Callithrix jacchus: one gene and its partners. The protein of the gene in region 2 purifies or fractionates together with the protein of the main gene of each other region. This does not show direct contact. Links are inferred from orthologs where the notes say so. Each region holds a gene or a part of one and is shown on either strand. Other genes may lie near its edges.

The links.
Region 1: the proteins of SLC39A11 (region 2) and FAM174A purify together in Homo sapiens (co-immunoprecipitation; 3 studies listed by BioGRID and IntAct, counting the BioPlex papers as one, with this or other methods). This does not show direct contact. The link is inferred for Callithrix jacchus from reciprocal best matches to the Homo sapiens genes SLC39A11 and FAM174A.
Region 3: the proteins of SLC39A11 (region 2) and GALNT16 purify together in Homo sapiens (co-immunoprecipitation; 3 studies listed by BioGRID and IntAct, counting the BioPlex papers as one, with this or other methods). This does not show direct contact. The link is inferred for Callithrix jacchus from reciprocal best matches to the Homo sapiens genes SLC39A11 and GALNT16.

The regions. Positions count from the first base shown.
Region 1 is NC_133503.1:109,934,900-109,939,205, forward strand, and holds the start of FAM174A (membrane protein FAM174A), read right to left. Parts: upstream 2,921-4,306; 5' UTR 2,752-2,920; coding exon 2,318-2,751; intron 1-2,317.
Region 2 is NC_133506.1:129,011,910-129,015,559, forward strand, and holds part of SLC39A11 (zinc transporter ZIP11), read right to left. Parts: intron 2,804-3,650; coding exon 2,645-2,803; intron 1-2,644. UniProt on the Homo sapiens protein: Zinc importer that regulates cytosolic zinc concentrations either via zinc influx from the extracellular compartment or efflux from intracellular organelles such as Golgi apparatus. May transport copper ions as well.
Region 3 is NC_133509.1:104,343,158-104,346,187, reverse strand, and holds part of GALNT16 (polypeptide N-acetylgalactosaminyltransferase 16), read right to left. Parts: intron 2,527-3,030; coding exon 2,385-2,526; intron 1,690-2,384; coding exon 1,564-1,689; intron 129-1,563; coding exon 1-128. UniProt on the Homo sapiens protein: Catalyzes the initial reaction in O-linked oligosaccharide biosynthesis, the transfer of an N-acetyl-D-galactosamine residue to a serine or threonine residue on the protein receptor.

The DNA of each region.
Region 1 (4,306 bases), on a different chromosome or scaffold from region 2:
GAAGAAAATTATAATCTGGAAGCAAAAAAGTATGAGTTCTGAACACTGCCCAGACACTGTTAGCATCAGTCAAGCCTTGGATGCCAGGCAGCCAACTAAATGTATGTAGGACTGGGGCTGCATGAATGTGTTAGATGCTGGTTAAAGAAAGCAGTTTTTATTAGCCACAGTTCAGAATTTGGCTGTTAACACACATCATGTTTCTGAGTCATCAAATAGAATCTGATTGGAAAGACTGTATCTGTCCAAGTTTTACAACAATAATGACAGAAAATCAATGGCAATAAATATGTGTATTTAAAATTATTAAAAAGGTGGAAGCAAAAGGAAAAACAAGCAAGGAATATCTCCACCAAATGATCATTATACCCATAATTTATATGTCAAAGAGATAGAACACTCAAGAGGTCATGCATTTTTATAGGAACTATATACAGACAGCATTAAATATCCATTTTATAGGAACTATATACAGACAGCATGAAACATTAGTTATATAGTGAGGAAAATAATTTGTTTTAATATTCTTTTAATCTTTCTTTATATCAAGAAGAAAGTCTCAATTTGGTGGTAATATGCTTTAAACACTTCCAGAACATTTTCTAACTTCTTTAACAGAGTGTGAGCACAGATTTGCCAGCCTTTGTAAACCAACATTATCTAGCTTGAATAATATTGCTTATACCCGTGGTTCTCAAACGTTTTGGATTTCTTTACATTCTTAATATTACTCAAGACTCTGAAAGAACTTACACTGATGTGAATTACACATAACAACTTTTAACATATTAATTAAACCAGAGAAAACCTATACATATCAACAGATTTAAAATAATAAGAGTAAACACATTACAGGTTAACATAACTCCCATGAAAAGTAACTATATTTTCAAAAGAGAAAAAAATGTAAAATCAATGACATTTAGATTTTTATTTCCAAATCCCTTTAATATCTGGCTTAAGGTGATAGAAGTTGTTAAAAAATAGAAACAAAAATAGGAAACGGATTTTTATATTGACTTCTCCATTAAATCCTTTGCAATGTGTTGTTTGGTTGAAACATACAATGTCATTCCATCTTTACACGGATATAAACTTGTAATAGAAAGAAACATTTTAACAGCCTTTTTATATACTACTGGTTATTTCTTTTTCATACTACTACACCAAAACTTGACAAGCAGTTTCTTCAAAGTTAGTTGCAATGTGGAATCTGAAACAATATCTATCAACTATTTGTAAGGCCTTTAACAGCATGTATTATTTTGAAAACAATTTTAATACTGTAGATCCCCTGAAGAGGTCTAAGAGGTCTAAGTGAAACTCCCACCTCTGTGGTTCCCTGGCCCACATGTCAAGAACCTCTGGCTTACACTATTTTTTAACCAGCCAAGTGATGTTGGTTTTCCATTCATGATCATAATGACTTGTTTAAAGGGAAACTTTTGCTTTAAATAATCAGTTAAAAGAAATATTTTAAATTATAATACAGAACATAATTATGGGAAAAATGTGCAGTAATTTGGAAAACAAAAAACCAGCCATCTGCAAACCTACCCTCTACACTTATTTTACAATGAAGGAAACTGCTAACAGCTTTCCTTCACCTTGTCTCTTTGCTGGCTTCTCCTAATTGTGAGGTCTTGGCTCTTTTTGCCAACTCTTCAGGAAGGTGATTCTCAAGTAATTAGGTAGAAGCGAATTACTTACGTGGCAGATTAAAGGCTAATACTAGTAAGGAAACACTGATAGTAAGGAAGAACTTTTCTTCTCCCGAATTTTATAAAAATAAAATAGCCATAATAAGGCACCTCTATACTACTATCAATCCACTCAAATACATATTAAATTCCTATTAAGTGGCAGCACTATACAAAAATTTATAAGACTCACAAACCTATTAGATAGATATCCTCTCTTTAAAGACTTTGCATTCTGATTGGCAAAATTTTGACCACTGGCAAAATGTAGAGTAGAAAGGCAGAAGTATTTTACAAGGCAAACTTGTCAAATTCAAGGAAATAAAGATTATATTCCCATCAGAGAAAGGGTGCCCTTTGAAGCTGACGTGGCTCGTAGGTGAGATGAAGAGATTTGGAGGTAGGGCGCTAATTTATAAACAAAAGGCAGCAATTAGTTGTGGGCTTAAATTGCCCCAAAAGTAACAGGCCTTTAAGACAGTCAAGTTACATTCTTAGGCAGGAACCCCTGATGTTGGGGAACAGGGAAAGGGTCACAGAAGTCAGCCTTGCTGGAGGAAATCACTGGCCTGCGCATCTCAGGCCCACGGGGGAGCCCCACCGAGGCTTTGCCTCACCTGACCGTCCTGACCACGAAGTACACCAGCACCGCGCCGCTCACCACCATCAACACTGTCAGGGCCCGCTGGGTCATGGGCTTGTCGCCAGGGTTGGGGCTCACAGCAAGGCCGCCACCCACTGAGCCTTCCCCGGCCTTCCCTCCGTGATCCTCCGCCTCAAGCCCGGCCCCGGGGCTGCTACCATTGCCGCCCTCGGAGCCCCGCGGCCCCGCAGCTTCAGCTAGACCACGGCCTGGCTGCTGGGCAGCAGTAGGGCCCGGTGGCAGCGGCGGCAATGTCCGTGGTCTAGGGTCAGGAGGCCCAGGACCTGGCGCGACCTCGGCTGCCTGTAGCAGCACTGCCAGGGGCCCGCTTAGCTCGGGCAGCAGCAGCAGGAAGAGGACGGAAGCCAAGAGGTGGCTGAGACAGCAGCAGCAATGCGAGGCCTTCATCGTTTCCAGACTGCTCTCTCACCACCCGGGGGCTGCCGGGCCCGCCACGCTGGCTCCAAGAGGGACCATAGGCGCAGAAGAAAATGAAGAAGAGGTGACCAAACGCCAGAGAGAGGCCCGGTCGTGGCAGGTGGCAGAGGCTCTGGCAGCTGCAGCTGCCGGGAGAACCGGAAGTTCGTGCATCTCAGCGGCCACTGCTGCTAAGGACGCCTTCGGTTGCTAACTTGTAGGGGCGGGTGCCCTCGGTGACGTCAGAGGCTTAGTGCCGAGTGCGCACGCGCACTTGTGGAACGCGCAAGGACTTGTCTTCTGGAAGCTTTTTGCTCTTTTCACTGTTAGTGAGGAGCGGTCAAAAATGCGTATTAACAAAGTAAGTAGCCAAAAATAGATTGTGTAATATGTACAGCAACTCTCTCCTGCAGGAACCTTGAGAGAATGGAAGCTCATAATCTGAATTTATTGGTGTCAAACTGCAATAACACATTTAAGCAGTAAGCCAGAGGGACTTAGTTTCCCTCAGCTGGATTACCAGCCTTAAGCATGTGGGTACCTCACCTCCCTTTCTAAAGAGTGTTTACTTTAGAAAACTTTAGCATTGTAATTTTTTTCCGCTTTTCTTTTCAGATGTAAATGTTTTTAAAAAGTTGTGGCCAGTTTTGTAGTTGAAAACTATCTCAAGGTTATGGAAGCCATGCCTTTGAAATATAATCAGCAAGGAAGATAGCCATCTCTTTTTTGTGGGAGGATAGGAGCCTAACCACTGTGGGCTTCTCCCTTCAAGTCTTAAAACCACCTCCTCTCGTGGAGGAGAAAATTTACTTTTCCTTTTTGGTAACCTCAATCAGCAAACTCAGGTAGCCCATGATTTTCCCAACATAGCTCTTAAAAACTCTTCACTACTGCTTTTTCTTTTTTTAAGTTGAGCTTAGAAGAGTTCTATCCCCTTTCCCGACTGCCAGTAATCTTCAATAATGTCTTCCTTGCCTGTTTGACTTAATAGTAATATGGAACTTTGATTTGTGCAGATAACAAACGAAAAATCTGAAGAAGATCAGAAATTAATATTTGCCAACTTATTAAAATGTGTTTATTCAACAAATTGTTTAGCGTTCCTACTCTTATTTATTTAGAGATGGAGTCTTGCTATGTCACCAAAGCTGGAGTGCAGTGGCGCAATCTCAGCTCACTGCAGCCTCTGTCTTCTGGGTTCAAGTGATTTCCCCTGCCTCAACCTCCTTACTAGTTGGGATTACAGGCATGCACCACCATGCCCAACTAATTTTTATATTTTAGTAGAGACTGGGTTTCACCATGTTGTCCAGATGGTCTGGAACTCGTGACCTCCAGTGATCTGTCCACCTCAGCCTTCCAAAGTGCTGGGATTACATTCTGATTATTGAGTGGTGAACAAATGTGACTGATCCTTGCTTCATAGAACTTAGGTTCAAGTGGTGATAATAATCACACTAATTTTGAAATCTGAATTGTGTTTTTAAAATGAAACATACAACCTATACTACAAATTTTGTAAATTGCTCTTTTAGGTAGAGTAGAC
Region 2 (3,650 bases):
CTGGCCAGCATGGTAAAACCCTGTCTCTACTAAACGTACAAAAATTAGCAGGGCATGGTGGTGTGCGCCTGTAAGCCCAGCTACTCAGGAGGCTGAGGCAGGAGAATCACTTGAACCCAGGAGGCGGAGGTTCCAGTGAGCCAACATCAGGCCATTGCACTCCAGCCTGGGTGACAAAGTGAGACTCTGTCTCAAAAAAAAAAAAAAAAAAAACCAATTACTACTGCATAGTACAAACTAGTCAATGACTGTTTACACTGCCCAGAGAAAACCCCTACGTTCAGACAGCTGACCAAATACACCTGACACGACCCCACCACCCCCACTCCCCTGGAACACAGTAAGACCCACCAGGATTGCAGAGTCAGAATGGGACCAGCAGGGCCAGTGCAGAGCTGCTGAGCCAGATCTCTGCCTGCTGCTCAGGGGTTAAAGCCACTGGGCACCTGCCAGGGCAAGCAGAATACATCATTGGAACAGCAAGTTCACATATAACCAGGATGGCCTTGAGATCAGAATACAGCAGCCTGCATTGAGGGCCACTGGAAGCCTCTACCACACAGACAAAGAGGGCAGCAAGGAAAAAGCCAAATGCCCAGGGGACAGAAACAGACACTGCCACTCAATTTTGTGTGTGTGTGTGTGTGTGTGTGTGTGTGTGTGTGAGTGAGACAGGGTCTTGCTCTGTCGCCTAGGCTGGAGTGCAGTGGCACCATCTCGGCTTACTGCAACCTCCACCTCCCAGGTTCAAGCGATTCTCATGCCTCAGCCTCCTGAGTAGCTGGGATTACAGGCTTGTGCCACCACACCCAGCTAATTTCGGTATTTTTAGTAGAGATGGGGTTTCACTGTATTGCCCAGGCTGGTCTCGAACTCCTGGCCTCAAGTGATCTGCCCCCTTGGACTCCCAATGTGCTGGGATTACATGCGTGAGCCATCACGCCCAGCCATGCCACTCAATCTTTTAACAACAAAAAATGACACACAGTCTTTAAGACAGGGGTCCCAATCTTTTCAACACCAAGGTCTGGTTTTGTGGAAGACAACTTTTCCACGGATGGGGATTGGAGTAGGGGGATTTGGGGATGAAACTGTTCCACCTCAGATCATCAGGCATTAGTCAGATTCTCTTAAAGGGCACACATCCCTTTAAGAGATTAAGTCACATTCTCTTAAAGGGCACAACATTTGACACACAGGAGCAGAGTTTGCGCTCCTATGAGACTCTAGTGCCACCGTTGATCTGACAGGAGGCGGAGCTCAGAAGATAAAGCTCACTTGCCAGCTGCTTGCTCACCTCCTGTTATGCGGCCCATTTCCTAACAAGCTATAGACCAGTACCAGTCCTCAGCCTGGGGGTTGAGGACCTCTGCTTTAAGACAATACCACAGCCGTCCAACATCACATTCAGCTGTCTGATCCAAAGAAAGGTTCTTCTATAACACAAGGAATTTGTTTTTCATTAGCCCGGGGCCCAGAGGCATAGTTCCTGGGAATCGTTTTAGCTGCAGAGCTGTCCACCATTCCTTTTCTTTCTCCAGTTGGGAACTTAAGAAAAAAAAGAAAGCAGGAAGGCAGGGAAGAGAACTTCAGCCTGTCTACCTCCCAGGGTACATGTCCACTGACTCCAGTGGATCTGACTGAATCCTGCCTCACTGTGATCCAACATGAGAAATGGACTGTGACCATTTCACAGATTTCTCCTGCACCCCTTCCTCTTCTAGGAGGGCAGGGAATTCAAGCACCAGTTCGGGGTGCTTCTGCCCTCTCTAGAACCTGTCTGGCTCAATGTCTGGTAAGGTGTCTCATGCTGTGATGATCACGGACCCCTTTCCTCTACTGAGAATGGTGCATGCAGATGACGGCTTTAGCCAACGGCTTGTGGCTCTCATGGCAGGACCTGGCCCCCGCTCTCTCGGCTCGGCCATCACAGCCACACTCCAGGCTGCAGTTCACATGGTGCTTCTCTGTAAGCAAATACATGCTCATTCCAAAACCCAACTCTCCAGCCTTATGTCAGCAAAAAGGCCTGAAATCTCTGGCTTATCCCCAGTTCCAGTGCATTTTTACATTTTCTAAATTTTACTATACAGTCCCTTGGGGGTGTTATCCTCAAACTAAAGGATGGAAAACTTGAGGTCAGGCATACACAATCAGTAAACGACAGGTGTGAGCTCCAGCCCAGACTCCTGCTGCACAGAGCCCCACCTGACCCTCGACCCTCCTGTCAACCCTCATGATATGACACGTTGTCAAAGGTCTAGTGCTACAAGATGAGGGAGGGTGGGATGTGTCGTCTCCCTGAAGATGTCCTACTCTCAGTAAGAGCCAGCATCATACTGATGAAGCTAGGTCCCACCCAGCAACCAGTTCTCGGCCCTCTCATATATACAGTGCCACTCAGCACATCAGCCATTTTTAAGGAAATGTGACATTCAAAATTGAACTTACTAAAATGTAAATAAGGAGGTAATTAGCAAGACATTATTTTCCTTAAGAAAGAAATCACCATTCAGTGCCTCTAATGCCTCTTTCTCTGTTTAAACACCATCTGGCTACTTAACAGAGACATTAACAGGTAATAAATCCATTGCACAGAGCGGGTATGTGTTAATACGACAGCTAAAAGTAGAGCGGTACTCACCAGGTAAGGCATCAGGAGGTCAGCCAAGTAGACAAAAGCTGCTCCAAGGGTGAAGCCAACAGCCACGGGCAAGAAGGCAAAGGCACCGAAGCCTCCAGAAGATGTGGCCATCTCAACTGCTGGGGCCAGGAGAGACCAATAGGAAGCTGCCAGCATGACCTACAAAACCCACAGCAAGCAATAAACATTAGAGTGACTGCAGGAGGCCTTCTAGATGGGACCTCACTTGCTCTCTGTGGCCCAGACTGACCCCTACAATTTCACATGAGTTAGGTCTTTCGTCCCAGGTTGGGAAGTCCTATCATAAACCAAAAAGTCAACCCCAGAATTCCTGGAGCTTACTATGGCAAGAACCCAATTTTGGGTAGGGCAGGGTTGACCTTGGGAGGATGCAGTCCAGTTTGCCGTCATCCAGCCTGTAACTCAGTGGTTCTCAACCAGCAATGCTTCTGCCCTCCACAGGACATTTGGCAATGTCTAGAGACATTTTTAACTGTCACACTATGAGGAGGGTAGAGGGAGGTTGCTACGGGCATCTAGTGAGGGAGGCCAAGCACACTGCTGAACATTCTACAATGCACAGCACACCCCTGACAACACAGAATTCTCTGGCCCCAAATGTCAGTGGTGATATTGTTGAAAGTTCCTTTGTTTTTTTTTTTTTTTTGAGATGGAATCTTCCTCTGCTGCCCAGCCTGGAGTGCAATGGTATGATCTCGCTCCCTAAAACCTCTGCCTCCCAGGTTCAAGTGATTCTCCTGCCTCAGCCTCCCAAGTAGCTGGGATTGTAGATACGCGCCACTACGCCCAGCTAATTTTTTTTTTTTTTTTTGCATTTTTTAAAGATGGGATTTTGCCATGTTGGCCAGGCTGGTCTCAAACTCTTGATCTCAGGTAATCCACCCACCTTGGCCTCCCAAAGTGCTGGGAATACAGGCGTGAGCCACCACACCCAGCGCCAAAAATCCTAGTTTAATTAAATTCTTCCAAGACGAATTGCTCACTA
Region 3 (3,030 bases), on a different chromosome or scaffold from region 2:
GGCAACAGCTGCCACTGCTGGGCCTGGGTGTCAGCCTGACACTTGCTGGTCACCAGCTGGGCAGGGTTCGTCTCCAGGCAGAGGCCACTGACTGAGTGCTGGATGAAAGATCCTTTCCTCCTCCATTTCTAGGAGGAACGGAGATGGGTTCAAAGAAGAAGGAGAAAACAATGGTTTAAAAAAATAATGTTGTACTTTCATTTCATATGCATGTACGCAACCCTTGTATATAACTGGGACACACCCCCTTCTCCTTTTTCTTAGACATGATCTTGATCTTACAGTGGTGCCACCATAGCTCACTGCAGCCTCGTACTCCTGGGCTCACGCAATCCTCTTACCTCAGCCTCCGAGTAGCTAGGACTTCACATGCATACCACCAATGCCCAGCTAATTTTTCAATTTTTTGCAGAGACCGAGGCTCGCTATGTTGCCCAGGCTGGTCTAGATAAAACTTCTCACCTCAAGCGATCCACCTGTCTTGGCCTTCCAAAGCACTGGGATTACAGACAAGAGCTACCATGCCCAGTCATGCGCCTCGTAAAGTAGGCTGTGTATTCCTACGTAAGAGGCTGCCCCCACCCCACCCCTAACACAAGCTTTAAGCCCTGCCCTTCCCAGTGGGCTCTTGCTTCTGTAGTTTGCAGAAGTTCCTGTCCAGATCAGAGGAGGCAAAGCAGCTGAAGTACCATGTGCTTATTTACAGTTTAGCTTGGTTGCCACGTGCAAATCTGCATTTCTAGCTTCTATGTAGTTATTGGGCCCAGTTTCTTAGGTGGCATCAGTTGCTGGGGCTGAGGATTTGCCCTCTGCCTTAGATGGGGCTCTTGTTCTCCAGTTTACCATAGTTCCTGCCTGGTCCCAGCTTTTCTCTTATCGGGGTTTTCCCACCAGCTCCCTGTAGGCACTTGAGTTTGTCAGTCCCGGCCCAGGTAAATCTGTTACTTTGGCACACATGATTTCTTCTTCCTGTGGTCCTAAGCTGCTGACCTGTGAGGCCACTTCTCTACACCCCTAGTGGGAGCTGCCTTCTTTGTAGGGATGACATCTAGAAGTCACAGTGACCTGGGTTTGAATCTCAGCTTCACCCCTTCTCAGTGGTGTGATCTGACATATGTTCTTCAGATTCAGCGAGCCTCAGTTTACTCACCTATAAAATGAAGCTAGTACTAGAACCCACATCACAGGGTGGCTGGGTGGATTAGATGAGAAGATCTATTTCAAACATGTAACACAGGCTGTCCGTAAAAGCTAACACTTACTTGAATCATGGTGGTTGTCAGGAGCTAGGGATACAGTGTTAACAAGACAAGCGGTCCCTGCCTTCACGGAGCTCACAGCCTGGCAGTATGGCACTAAACAAATAATTACCCAAAGAAGTATTTCCTCATGGGTAAAATAACTGGCTTGATCTAGATGTAGACTTGGCTCCTCCTCTGCCCCAGATCCTTGCTCTGCAGGGATTATTTGAGTTGATTGGGGTCTCCCCCGCCAGGGTCTGCCACCCTGAGGCATGGTCCCCTGGGGCTGCTGGGTCTCTGTGCCAGAGGCGAGGAGACTCACCTGCTTGCCTTCTCTAGGGTTGCACATCTGCAGTGTGACGGGGGATCCGGGAGAGGACATCAAGGTGGAGGTGGCAGCCAGGCACTTCCCCTGCTGCTGGATGAGGTGGTCACTGAACAGCCAGGCCTGCAAGGCAGGGAGCAGAAAGGCCAAGTCAAAAGTACAGCGATGGATGGAGAGATGGGTAGGTAGGGGATAAAGCAAACACATGGCATATTTTTGTAAGATTTCTATGAATAATTATAGGAGCTAGGGTGGGTGTATGGGTATTCACTGTATAATTCTTCATATTTTTCTGTATGTTTGAATTTTTTTGATAATAAAATATTGAGGTGGGGGAGCTTAGCTGGAGCTGGCCAGAGGGCAATCACAGCTGTACCCAGGGACTGTGGGAGATGGGAGAGAATTACAAGACTTGGAACCAGGGCAGCTGGGAGCTGGTCCTCACTGGGGTCTCCATGACCTGCTTTAGTTTTGATGTGGGTGCAACACTCATGTGTGCACGGAAGTCTTGGACATTGCCTTTCACACGAGCCAAGCCCAGCTGCATCTCAGGAGAGAACTGGGCACTATCTGGGCAGCACTTCTCCCTTGGTAAGGACAAAGCAAGTGGTGCACACAGGATACCCAAGTGACAGGCGTATTGAAATGCATAGGATACGAATGCGTGGGAGCAGAGTATAGGGGCCCCTGGCAAAGTGGGTTTGTGTAAGGTGTAGGCAGAGGAGAAGAATAAGCGGGGGGAGTCCCTTAACCCACTCCGAGCAATGCCTCCAGCTCTCTCTCACGCCCATTCCTACCCGAGGTTCTAAGCAGCTTACCTGGGCAGGCTGGGGGTTCTTGGCAGACCCCCTGCAGATCCCCATTCCAAGCAGGAAGTCACCAGCTGTGTTCTGGCCCTGAGATTCTAAGCAGTTCATCCCCTGCTTAATGATGACAGGGAGTACTTCCTTCACGGGGACCCTGAGAGAGAAGGCAGCAGTCAGGCTTGTCCTCTGCCCCATCAGGCTTACCTACACCCTCTCCCAGACAGCAGCGTCCCTTCAGCTCTGGGGGTGCCAAGGTCTCCGTGGGAAAGGGCCTGGGAGCAGCCTGGCCAGCAAAAGGAAGTCAGTAGGGTTGGATGAGGAACAGGAGTGGCCTCTAATAAGACTAGGCATTGGTTCCAGGGGTTCTTCCAAGGGGATCTGGTAGCCCCTGGGACTGCCCTGGAGGCTGGGCCTGAGACATAGAGGATGGGGGAGCCATGGGGGGAGCTCAGGCCAGAAAAGCGGAGCCCCTCAGTCCAGAAGGAGGAAAGCCTCAGGAGAACATGGGGTCAAAATGTAGGCTCAATAACCCCAAAATGACAGGGAAGTGGGTGCTTTGAAAAGACAAATTAAACATAAATATGAAAATGTGTTTAATCTCAGTAATGATTAAAGAACTACATATCAGAGTCACCGATGTGTATTTACCATGTATGTA